Arabidopsis thaliana: one gene and its partner. The protein of the gene in region 2 binds, or shares a complex with, the protein of the main gene of each other region. Links are inferred from orthologs where the notes say so. Each region holds a gene or a part of one and is shown on either strand. Other genes may lie near its edges.

Evidence for each region.
Region 1: the proteins of CPA (region 2) and CPB are in contact, whole or in part, in a crystal structure (PDB 4AKR), measured with the Dictyostelium discoideum proteins. The link is inferred for Arabidopsis thaliana from one-to-one orthologs. Residues at the interface, in XP_645243.1 of Dictyostelium discoideum: Leu7, Ile10, Phe14, Asn17, Pro19, Glu22, Glu25, Val26, Asp29, Val30, Ala32, Leu33, Leu34, Tyr125, Asn127, Glu128, Tyr129, Tyr130, Pro131, Thr154, Cys155, Ile156, Tyr157, Tyr163, Ser164, Gly165, Arg166, Trp167, Val190, Asn191; in XP_647630.1 of Dictyostelium discoideum: Lys4, Gln5, Cys8, Cys9, Asp11, Leu12, Met13, Arg14, Arg15, Leu16, Pro17, Pro18, Gln20, Asn24, Gly27, Leu28, Asp30, Leu31, Val32, Ile103, Phe104, Ile106, Tyr107, Leu110, Tyr111, Phe112, Glu113, Lys136, Thr137, Gln138.

Annotation. Positions count from the first base shown.
Region 1 is NC_003070.9:26,994,765-26,999,598, reverse strand, and holds CPB (Subunits of heterodimeric actin filament capping protein Capz superfamily), read right to left. Parts: upstream 2,795-4,834; 5' UTR 2,731-2,794; coding exon 2,602-2,730; intron 2,510-2,601; coding exon 2,439-2,509; intron 2,305-2,438; coding exon 2,191-2,304; intron 1,944-2,190; coding exon 1,861-1,943; intron 1,773-1,860; coding exon 1,699-1,772; intron 1,536-1,698; coding exon 1,416-1,535; intron 1,289-1,415; coding exon 1,193-1,288; intron 898-1,192; coding exon 814-897; 3' UTR 532-813; downstream 1-531. Other genes in the region: AT1G71780 (WD repeat protein), read left to right, coding at 2,961-3,344, 3,984-4,193. UniProt on the Arabidopsis thaliana protein: F-actin-capping proteins bind in a Ca(2+)-independent manner to the fast growing ends of actin filaments (barbed end) thereby blocking the exchange of subunits at these ends.
Region 2 is NC_003074.8:1,596,690-1,602,242, reverse strand, and holds CPA (Subunits of heterodimeric actin filament capping protein Capz superfamily), read right to left. Parts: upstream 3,633-5,553; coding exon 3,515-3,632; intron 3,348-3,514; coding exon 3,232-3,347; intron 2,630-3,231; coding exon 2,540-2,629; intron 2,452-2,539; coding exon 2,387-2,451; intron 2,158-2,386; coding exon 1,996-2,157; intron 1,904-1,995; coding exon 1,825-1,903; intron 1,724-1,824; coding exon 1,646-1,723; intron 1,506-1,645; coding exon 1,431-1,505; intron 1,350-1,430; coding exon 1,314-1,349; intron 1,217-1,313; coding exon 1,113-1,216; coding exon of another isoform or gene 1,109-1,112; exon of another isoform or gene 1,032-1,108; coding exon 806-1,031; downstream 1-805. Other genes in the region: AT3G05510 (Phospholipid/glycerol acyltransferase family protein), read right to left, coding at 4,169-4,681, 5,162-5,267, 5,366-5,484. UniProt on the Arabidopsis thaliana protein: F-actin-capping proteins bind in a Ca(2+)-independent manner to the fast growing ends of actin filaments (barbed end) thereby blocking the exchange of subunits at these ends.

The DNA of each region.
Region 1 (4,834 bases), on a different chromosome or scaffold from region 2:
TATTAAGAGAAGATAACGAAGAAGAAGGTGAAGCGCTGCTTCATCTTCTTCCTGCTAAGTAACGGGTCGAGATTCAAATCGAATTCGAAACAGTTGAGTTTCGTTAAATTCTTCTGAAGAGAGAGATCTTTCGTATTCGTCGTCGATAGGAGACTTTTTGTCTTTATTTTTCAGTTTTTGGTTTTAAAGAGTTAAGAAGAGAAGACGAATGAAATTATTTAGCAAAACGATTAGTACCGTCGTCGTCGATATTTATTTATATCTCTCTCTACAACAAGAATAAAAAAAAGAAAGCCGAAAAAGGAAACTGATATTTTGGTTAAAAGGAAATTTATTTTAATATCTTTTTTTATATGTTGGACAAAAATATTTGTATAGTTATTGATTAGGTTGTTATTAGTTACTGACCGTCTAGATGGCACCTAGGCGCTAAACGGACTCATATGGCGATTACATCAAGGATTCTTACTTTCTTTGTCCATTCGGTATGCATGTCGAAGGCAGTGCGATATCACTAAATGAGGTTTGATGCTTTAGGTCCTAAGTTCACAACATGTCGCAGCCACCACTGATTCTGCTATTCTATACTTTTGGAGAAAACCAAGCATTTCCATAATATTTATACGACTTTTAAAACTGCATCATTCGTTATATTTATGGGAAAAGATGGTCACATGATGGTGAAGTCAGAGAAAAACATGGGAGTAAGAGACATCCACACAAAACACTCGGAGAAGCGTTTAAGATCAGACCAACCAAAACAAACAAATATCGAGACCTTCTTACATAAAGCGTGATCGGAGGAGCATCAGGTCAGGTGTCAGGCAATCTCATTTGTACAATCTCAGCTGGTGGACGCAATGTGCAAACCATTTCTCTTGTCTTCCCAAAGTAAACCTGCGCTTTTCACCAAACAATTCTCAAACCCTTGAAGCTACGCACATTACGTTATTCTTTTCTCTTGGTCTAGATTAATTCATGAGATGTTAGAAAGTGATTTGATCTAAAACTTATCCTACAATTCTCGTTTACTTATTTTGGGGTCTGCCAAGCACCACAGAACAACTGTAGCATGAGCTTTAACTAACTAAGCAATCCGAATGCCGGTAATTAAGAAACCATTTTCAGCATATATGGCGGTTACACAAGTAGACGGAGTTTGTGGAATTGGTGCAGGGATTGGAGGTAGAACCTGATCAAGTGAGTTCCTCAGTTTGCCTTCCAATTCTTCAATCATTCTCCCCATATTGCACAGGTGTCCGTCAGCTACTGCTAGCTCCATTTTCATCTAATTTCAACAGTAGCAGAATAATGTTATTCTTTTACAGATATTTGGTTTTCCTCCATTGAATCACAATTCATACCAGGAACTATTTATCTATGAAGGCATGGGCTAAATAGAAGCTAATACTTACTTGTCTTCTAATTGATCCAGATAAGCCGAATTTGCCCGAAGACTCATCATCAGTTGTCAGAGAAAGCATGATGGTACTTGTTAAGCAATATTGTGCCATTTCCTCCTCCTCTGAACCAACCTAGTTGAGAACCTCAGGCATTAGAAGCAAAATATGAAGTCTCATTAAAGAGCTGCTTAGGAAACTATGATAAAGTTGCAATTGAGGGTGGTATGTGTTACAAAATGGGCAACATTTTAAAACACATAAGGCACGCTTGGTAATGGTATGTTAAGAGAGTCACCTGTATAACATGTATGGCATCCCACGCTCCTTCCTCCAGGCATCCCCTCCGACCATGACCTGACTTTGACCCATCTTCGAAAAATAAAAACCAGAACAGCTCAGGTAAAGAGTTTTTATTGCCTAACATTCAGTGTTATTGAACTCTACAGAAAGAATGTACCTTTCTTGATAAGGAAACATGCCACAAAGCCTTCATTATCATCCTCCCACATGTAGACTGAAGATATACCACCTTCATAATACCTGGAAAAGAAAACTGATCAACACAGGTGTTCTTTTGGTAACTTTGCAAGCTTTTTTCAGTCTCCAGTCTAATGGATACATTAGAAGAATGAAACACATATCATATATTGTTAAACCATGAGATAAATCTCACGACTAGGCAAGCCTTTTTTTCAGATCAGATGCTAACTATGTCTCCGTCTTAGATAACTCAAATTACTTTCACTACATGGTTTTCATGTTGAACGAGGTAGGTAAAGAACCTCACTGGTCACGATAGATCGCAAAGATATCGTTGGCTTCAACTTCAAGCTTTCTTAATTCAGAAGATGGGTAAAGAGCATCCTCTAGCGGAGGAAGATACTTATTTGACCAAGGTGACCTGCAAAAGTAAAGATTACAAGAACCAACAAATAGCAATTTAGCTATGAACACGAAGTACTGTATCATCCCAAACCAAAGCGATCCAATATTTTGAATTTTCTCTCTACACAATGAAATAGAGCAAAAAAGTACCTGTAGGAATCTGCATCTCTATTATACTCACACAAGATGAAATCTTTCCCACTTTCAATATCACGTAACACCTGTCATTACATCACCAAACCAAACATTGGGAGATAAGCACGACTAAGGCAACAAAATCACATTTTCAAATCTCGATAAAGATAGAAAATACCTGAAGAGGGAGATCGACTTGAGAGAGAAGATCGGAAGAATGTTGAGGAATGAGGCTTAGAAGAGCAGATAGAGCCGTCTCCGACTGCTTCGGCGGCATTCTCCGGAGAAGTCCCAAAGCTGCCTCCATTTTTTTCCAACCTCGCCGGAGAAAAAAAACACTTCTCCTCTGAGAAGACGAACTAAAAGGTAACAACCGAATAACCAATCTCTTATTGTCTATTATACCCTTTAGGCCCATCATAAGGCCCAAACATTACGAGGCCTTTTACTAAGCGACGTCGTTATGAACAGAATATTTATTTTTTGCTTTCCTGGGATTATAAATCTTTTTTTCCATCGGACGGTGAATTGTTAGTCATGTCATCGATGACGGAGAAGGAGAAGGAGAGAGATCCACCACCACCACATCAAGAGATTGAAGAGACTACTCCGTTGCTCGAAAATTCTCAACCGGAAAGTGAATTGAGATCGACGACCGCGGCGGCGAAGGTTCCTGAGGTGGAGATTCATCTGTATAAGTGTGGAAAAGGTCCGATCGATGTGTTCAAGTCAAATCTCGGCGGTTATGAGCAGGATCAGCTCGAGGTTCGATCTATTCTTGAGAAATATGGCTTGAAAGCAATCTTCGCTTTCAACGTTGAGAAAGGTCGTGCTGTTCCGATCAGATTTCACCCTAGGAATGGTCGGTCTGTGTTGCCTTATAGGGATGGTGCCGTCATTTACATCGACGGTGAACCTCAGGTAATCTGATTGTTTTGATTTTGAGTTTTCACTTACGCAATAGGAAAAAAGGACAGAGAACGATCTCCTTAGCTTAGTTATAGTTCCCTACTGATGCTTGAATGAATAAACTCACGGTGAATATTGTTGCATTGCATCTGTTGGACCTTCTCTGAACGCATGATTAAGGAATAGGATAGGACCCAATCTGCTTCTTGTCTCCTTTACATGTTCTTCATACCCTTGGATTGTAGAATTACTCTACATTGGCGTTCTGCATTTAGATAAGTTGATGGTTTTCTTTTGATTGTGCTCATAAACCTCATACATGTCTCTAGACTTTCTAGGCTTCTTTACTCTTCAATTGCCCTGGAATATCAATTAACGTGGATTCGGTGTCTCATGGAACCTTAGGTTTAGGTCAAAGCTTGTATTCTTACTTAAAGTAAACAATTTCTTGGAATCACTCCTATGGCTCATAGATTTAGAATACGCATGTAGAAACTAGAATGGATGTCATGGTATTCTGACTTCGTTGGGGCGTAAAAAGTCTTTGGATAATATTGTTGCAAGAACAGAAAAAAAAAGCATTAAAACATGCAGCTTTAATTGGGTGATTCATCTGATAACACTATTAATTTGAACACCTTTTGTTTTCAGGATTCCCTGCTCAAACCCATCACCAGAATCATTCTCGGAGTTGTGATTGTTACGCTCTTAATAACATTTCTATTGAAAGACCCTCCAGCTTGGATCAAGAACAACATCTCCATTGGGACCTTTCCTCCATGGGTGCTCGCATGCATAGTTATAGTTTTCACTCGAGCTAGAAAGAGAACCAGGGACTTCTTCAAGAAGTATGGCTGGTAGTTTCGCAGACCCTAACACTCGTCTCGCTTAAAATGTGGTCGAAATTTGTAGTCTTTCATCGACCATATATATAGAGGTTCTCTTGCCTTAACCCAACAAGTTCCCTTCCTTGGCAAGACTCTTCGTCTTTGATACGCCTTGAGGCGCCAAATTGCTTGCTTTCAGAACTAAGAGAGAGCAATCATTTTCTTCATTTGCATTTTGTTGAAGTTTATAGTTTTATGCATTTCCATGTGTAATGCGATTTGGTTTTTGCCATTTTGATGGAAACTGATACTTATTTTCTAAAACCCAATAGTTTGGCAACAAGCCTGTCCATATTTAATCTCTACATTCCTCCCTGATAATATGAAAATTTAGTCTTGTAACGCATGACATGCTCAGTTTCGTACATATGTCAGATAGTGTTTCAGAAATATCTAAAATGAATGACAACATCACCCATATCGAACTTACTTTTTGGTGGTAGAAAATATTTAGTCGACTAGAGTCTGACATTTTACTCTATTAATCACGAGTACTTAGCAATCTCTGTTCAATAGATTTCAACTGTTGTATTTATTGATGATGGAATTTTTTAAAGATCAAAATTGTCTCATCCACAAAATATTGTCCATGAATTCTATAGATTAGCCTTGTGG
Region 2 (5,553 bases):
GATCTGAAGACTATTCGTACAAAAAAATAAAAAAATAGCAAAAATTGAATGTCATTGAAGTCAATACTTTTGGATATTTTGTCATTGCATATATCAATATTTAATAAATGATTGTGTCTTGGATGATTTGAAAATTGTTCAACTTGATTATAAATAAGAAGGTGGAGGAAATGGGTAATTACGTATGCTTTTGTTTATTTTTAGACGATGGAAGATACTTAGTTGTTTGTGTGTGTATCAGGAGGAAGGAGACCATCTCTGGACGTGGAAAACTCGAAGATGATTTGCAAGAAATTTGTGAGCCTCAACTATGACTAGTGCTCATGCTTGGAACTGAAACTATTTCTTTTAGTATATATCTAGTAATTGCTAGCTTATCACTCTTTAGACATTTTGCACCATCGTTTTGGGCATGGGACCAATATCTGATCAATATTCAAAAGTGGTTTTTGTAATGACTTTAACTTAAGGATTTTAATTTAATCATGATTCAGGATATATCAGCATCGTCTTAACAAATTAAAACAAAGCTTTCTAACCGAGGTGAACACAAAATTAATGGAGGTGATTGACAATTGAATTAAGAACAAGGATGGGGACAACGCATTATCATTAAAAACAAACGTGATTAGATTATCACTACAAACGTGATTAGATTACCACCCGGGGCCTAAGACTTTCACCATGGGCCTCTATTATTGGGCTTTCCTTTCAAATTGTGCTCTCTTTTTTTTTTTTTGCTTTTTTTTTATTAACAGATTATTTAAGGAAATCTTTATCATTCATATTAAAGTTTAATACATATTTAGTTCTTTAACAGTTCCAATAACATATCCGTTGTCGTCCAGCGGTTAGGATATCTGGCTTTCACCCAGGAGACCCGGGTTCGATTCCCGGCAACGGAGCTCTTTTTGGGACCAAACTTCAATTCTTTCATGCGGCTTGCGGAACAATATCTATCATACTTACTAATGCGATTTGTATACATTACTCCAAAGGAAAGACAAGACACAACAGAAATAATACTTATCCTTCACTTACATAATGGAAATCACAGAAACTTTGACAACGAAATATAGCACTCAAAAGGTTGCGAGTTGATGATTAGTCACTTGCCAAGTCCAAGTTCTTTCTCGACCTCTCTTGTTAGGCTGAACTGTAAAGTGTTCTGCCATGGGAACAGAGTTCGTGTCACCGGAAGTTTCCTCCTCAAATCCTGCAAAATTCCATATATCTGCTCAGAAATTTCTAAATACACCTCGAGGTTACCATTGTGCAGCCACTGAAATCGTTATTTGGAAAGAGACAATTACCTTGAAAGTGTTATCCGGTAATTTTGAATAAGCTACCTAATGATTGGGTCAGATACAACGAGATTAACAACACATGAAATGGAAAAGTACGAGATAAATGAGTTGCTAATTGGGAACCTCTAGAGATGCAAGGTACTCTGTTTCATGGTGCCTGATAATATTGGCTATGGCAATCGCGCAGTCATCTGCAGACTGTCAATGGAACAAAAAATGAACGACAAGGTTATATCAGAGCCTACACATATTTGTTCCCTTGGTGTATATTATATGCTAGCCTGGCCTGGCTTGTGGTCTACATTATTGTACACAGTTTCGCAGATAAAATGAGGTACCTGAAATATTGTTGAATCTTGGAAATCTTTTTTTGCATCTAATTCCACATTTCCCTCTTCAAAATAATGAGCTCCTACCTGAAGAGAAAGTGATATACTTAAAACAAGCTCACTGAACATCAATTGGCATAGAATAACGTCACAGTCAACTTACAGAGAAAGCAAGTCGCGAATGTTACCTGCAATTTCCCTTTTATGTCAAGCACCTGGGATTCATCCTGGAAATCTATGTTCCATACAGATCTCCAACTTCCATTACTGCCAAACACCCCGGTTTGGTCACTCAAAATCATTTTTTCTCTCTAAACAATGGAAATGGAGAAATAAGTAAAAGGTCATTTTGTACTCACCAGAAGTTCTGGGGACTAAGTCTCATAGCAGTAATTATAACAACAAGCTCAAAGTCGGACCCTGGACCCTCATTATCTTTCCCTTTCACACAATTAACTGCAGACATACCTTTCGGATAAGATTCACTAACATATCTCTGGATTTCAGCATCAAGAGCATATCTGTAATGAGCAAAACAACCTTTTCAACATATGTATTCAGCAGTAAGACAAAAATAATGTAGATCACTCCAGGTTCATTGCCCTTTATTCCTAAACTTCTGAAAGTGCTTTTCTAATGTTTGCCTTTGTTGCCATAAGAACTTAGGCTACGAATATATGATAATTCTGAACTGAATGGTGATGCATGAACCTGATCTTAAATCCTACAGCTGGGTGTAAAAATCCATACCTGTACTCCTCAATATACAAAGAAGGAAGTTCTTCATCATTTGCAGGCCGTACCTTTGTACAAATCTGGTCAAAGAGAGGAGAGGTAAGCTTAAATTAGATTCACAGATCATGGCACACCATAATGAAGAACAACAACAATAAAATAATGTACCTGTTTAACATGATCAACTATGGCAACCTGGGCAGTTCTTGGATCAAGGTACTCATTTTCATTAATTTCACTGTAAGATGAGACAATCACCTGAGATTCAACAAAACAGTATTACGATATCTCGCAGCGAATAAACACTAAACAGTTTTCCCATAACATCTTCAAAAAATATGAAAAGGTGATGCAGGACTTATGTTGATTGCCAATTTGATCAACAATAGTCAGCATAAGAGTGTTGCATGTAGATATCAGTCGCAAGTTTTTAAAAACTCTCTAGGAAAGAAAAAGACACACGACCAAGACACTCAAAGCTCAAAAATTCTCAATCCAAACAGCGAAATTGAAGAACTCCTACTAGAATTTAAAATCCCTAATTTCTAAGATCGACTAATCTCTAGCCTCTTTGCAGCTAGCGAAGCAAAAACCCTAGGAAAGCAATATACATCTAAGAGAGACAAATACCACAAAGTATACTTGAGTTCTCTCCTTCTGAGTGATCCACTAAGTATTGTTCAAAGCTCTTCCCCTTTTCATTAGCCACATTTCTCTAAGAATCTTAATAGATCATGAGAATAGCTAATTCCACATAACAGAGATTACAAGTCAATAATGTTCGACAATTCAACTCCTATGACACAACAAATGAAAATTTCAACTAAGTAGAATAGAACCAGAATAAGATGCTAACTCACATCACCAGCTCCACTGGGCATTTCAAGGCAAATCATGTGAGTTTTGTTGTACACTGGAAATGCTTCCATGGCTGCTTCATTGTACACTTCCTCATCGCTCAAAACCGCCTTTAAATCTGTCAGAAGTCCAAAAGATTTACAGAAATCGAAACAAAGATGTCAAATCACGCATGATGCTCAAAACAAAACAAAATGCACACGGAGAATCTATGATCTCGCCTTCTCATTGAGGGACACATCGGAGGAATCGTCGGAAATATGTATGTACGATGCATCTAAGTACCTTTAGCGACGTAATTGATTTCTCCAGCGGGAGCGTTGAGGAAAAACCACTTGGCGATTTCCTTTTTCTGGTCGTAACTTAGTTCTGTCTCCAGTAACTCATCTTCTTCGTCCGCCATAGCTTTCTCTAGAAAAAAGTTAGCCGGAGAGAGAAATTGTCGCCGTCGATATTCTGAACTCTGTAGGGATACATTCGTCATTGCACACTCATAAACTTTCCTGTGTTGGATCGCGATTAAATCATGACCGTTCGTTTACCATGATGAATTCTGACGGTGTCGTTTTGATGTGATAGATTGTGCCACGTGGCCATTCTTACTCGAACCGCATCGTTTTTGCAGCAAATATCCCAATTTCAATCGAAACCCATTCAAATTAATTTAAGCGCATGAAAGGCATTATCTTTAGCAAAACACACCAAATCTAATCTTTAATGTAGTATTTGCTGTGATTAAAAAGGTTCGAGAAACTGGGATTTTATTAAAAGCTAATTTACAACAACAACAACGAGATAGATAAGAGTTCATGTGTGATCGAAAAAAAAAATCTAGCTAAATCTATATTAGACAAGTAAAAACATGTCCATTTGTTGTGGCCTGTGGGACTTAAACCTCATTACTAAACTAATATTCCTAACGGGAGTTTAACTTGCAAGTTATAATCCACGGTTCATAAAATACTCTCTCCAAGCCTTTAAAGGCCTACCAACATTGGCAGATTCAACCCGACTCTTGTACTCGTTCATTAGTAACCCTCTAGCCGCAAACCCCATCATCTCGGTTGAGTCCATGAGCTTCTTAATCTTCAAGCTGACCCCTCCTTCGGGTGAGACTCTCCTTTTGGGAGATCTGACAATGCGATCATCGCTTTGGCCAATCGGTTTACTACTGGGTGATGATTCTTCTGAAAATTGTGCTCCCATCCCAAATGAGTCCCAATCGACTCTATGAAAGATCTCAGCAGCACGGTCCGAGGGTGTTTTGGCATTGTGTGACATCATAGATTGTTGTTCTATATATACTCTATCAACTTGTGCTTTTAAATCGTACAGTCTTTGTCCAATTCTGGACGAAACGGCGTCATACAGGTGTTTCCTTGAGACGTGTTGGGCTCCTTCAGTGCTGAGAATGTCATTAAAATGAATAGGGTCTCCAATGATCACTGTCACCTGCGAAATGTTTGACGTAAATCAAACAGATTAAAGATTGCAAATACATAATTAAGCAATGTAATAACCTAATGACAATTAGTAACACTACAAAATGTCTGGCATTTGAACTCTATATCCTTCCATGGACAATACATATCCACTTACTCAAAATATGAATCACCCAATTATCGATAGATCCTTTCTTTCTTAAATCATTAATTCGAGATCCGATTCACTCCTCGGATCACTAAAAAGTCAAGTCCAACAAAAATTGCGAGAGGTCTTAGATCTGTATCCAAGGGCTTGCAAATCAAACAAAGCAATACACTCTTAAACTATTTTAACTCGAGGCAACTAACTACTTCTCTGAAAGTTATGGTTTTTTATTTGTTTTCTGATTTTGGGCGGAGCAGAGATCATGATGCATCAAACTATTAAGAGATCAAAAATGAAAGCTACAAACGAGGAAGAAAAAATTGGAGATTCAGATATACTTACTGTCTTGCCAATCCGTGGAACACTAGCTCCAACTGGCATTATATCCTGCATACCAGTATGCACAAAAGGAACAACCATAGGGAGAGTATCTGCGTCCAAAATCAACCTAAAACAAATAAAACTTGTTATAGAATAAAATGATAAGACACATTAAAGTGGAGTGCTTTATATAAGGGAAGTGAACCCAAATCACACATGACTCACCTTCCGATACCCCTCTTCGCTGAGCCCATAGTCTTTCCACCATCCCGGGAGCGACTGCCTTCTGGAAAGATGTGAACCCACCCTCCGTTGTTCAATTTCGAAATCGCAATGTCCATTCCCTGCAGAAGATGTGACACTTGTTTTCATCAGTAAATTTGAATATAGATAAAATAGCAGGTAACAATCAA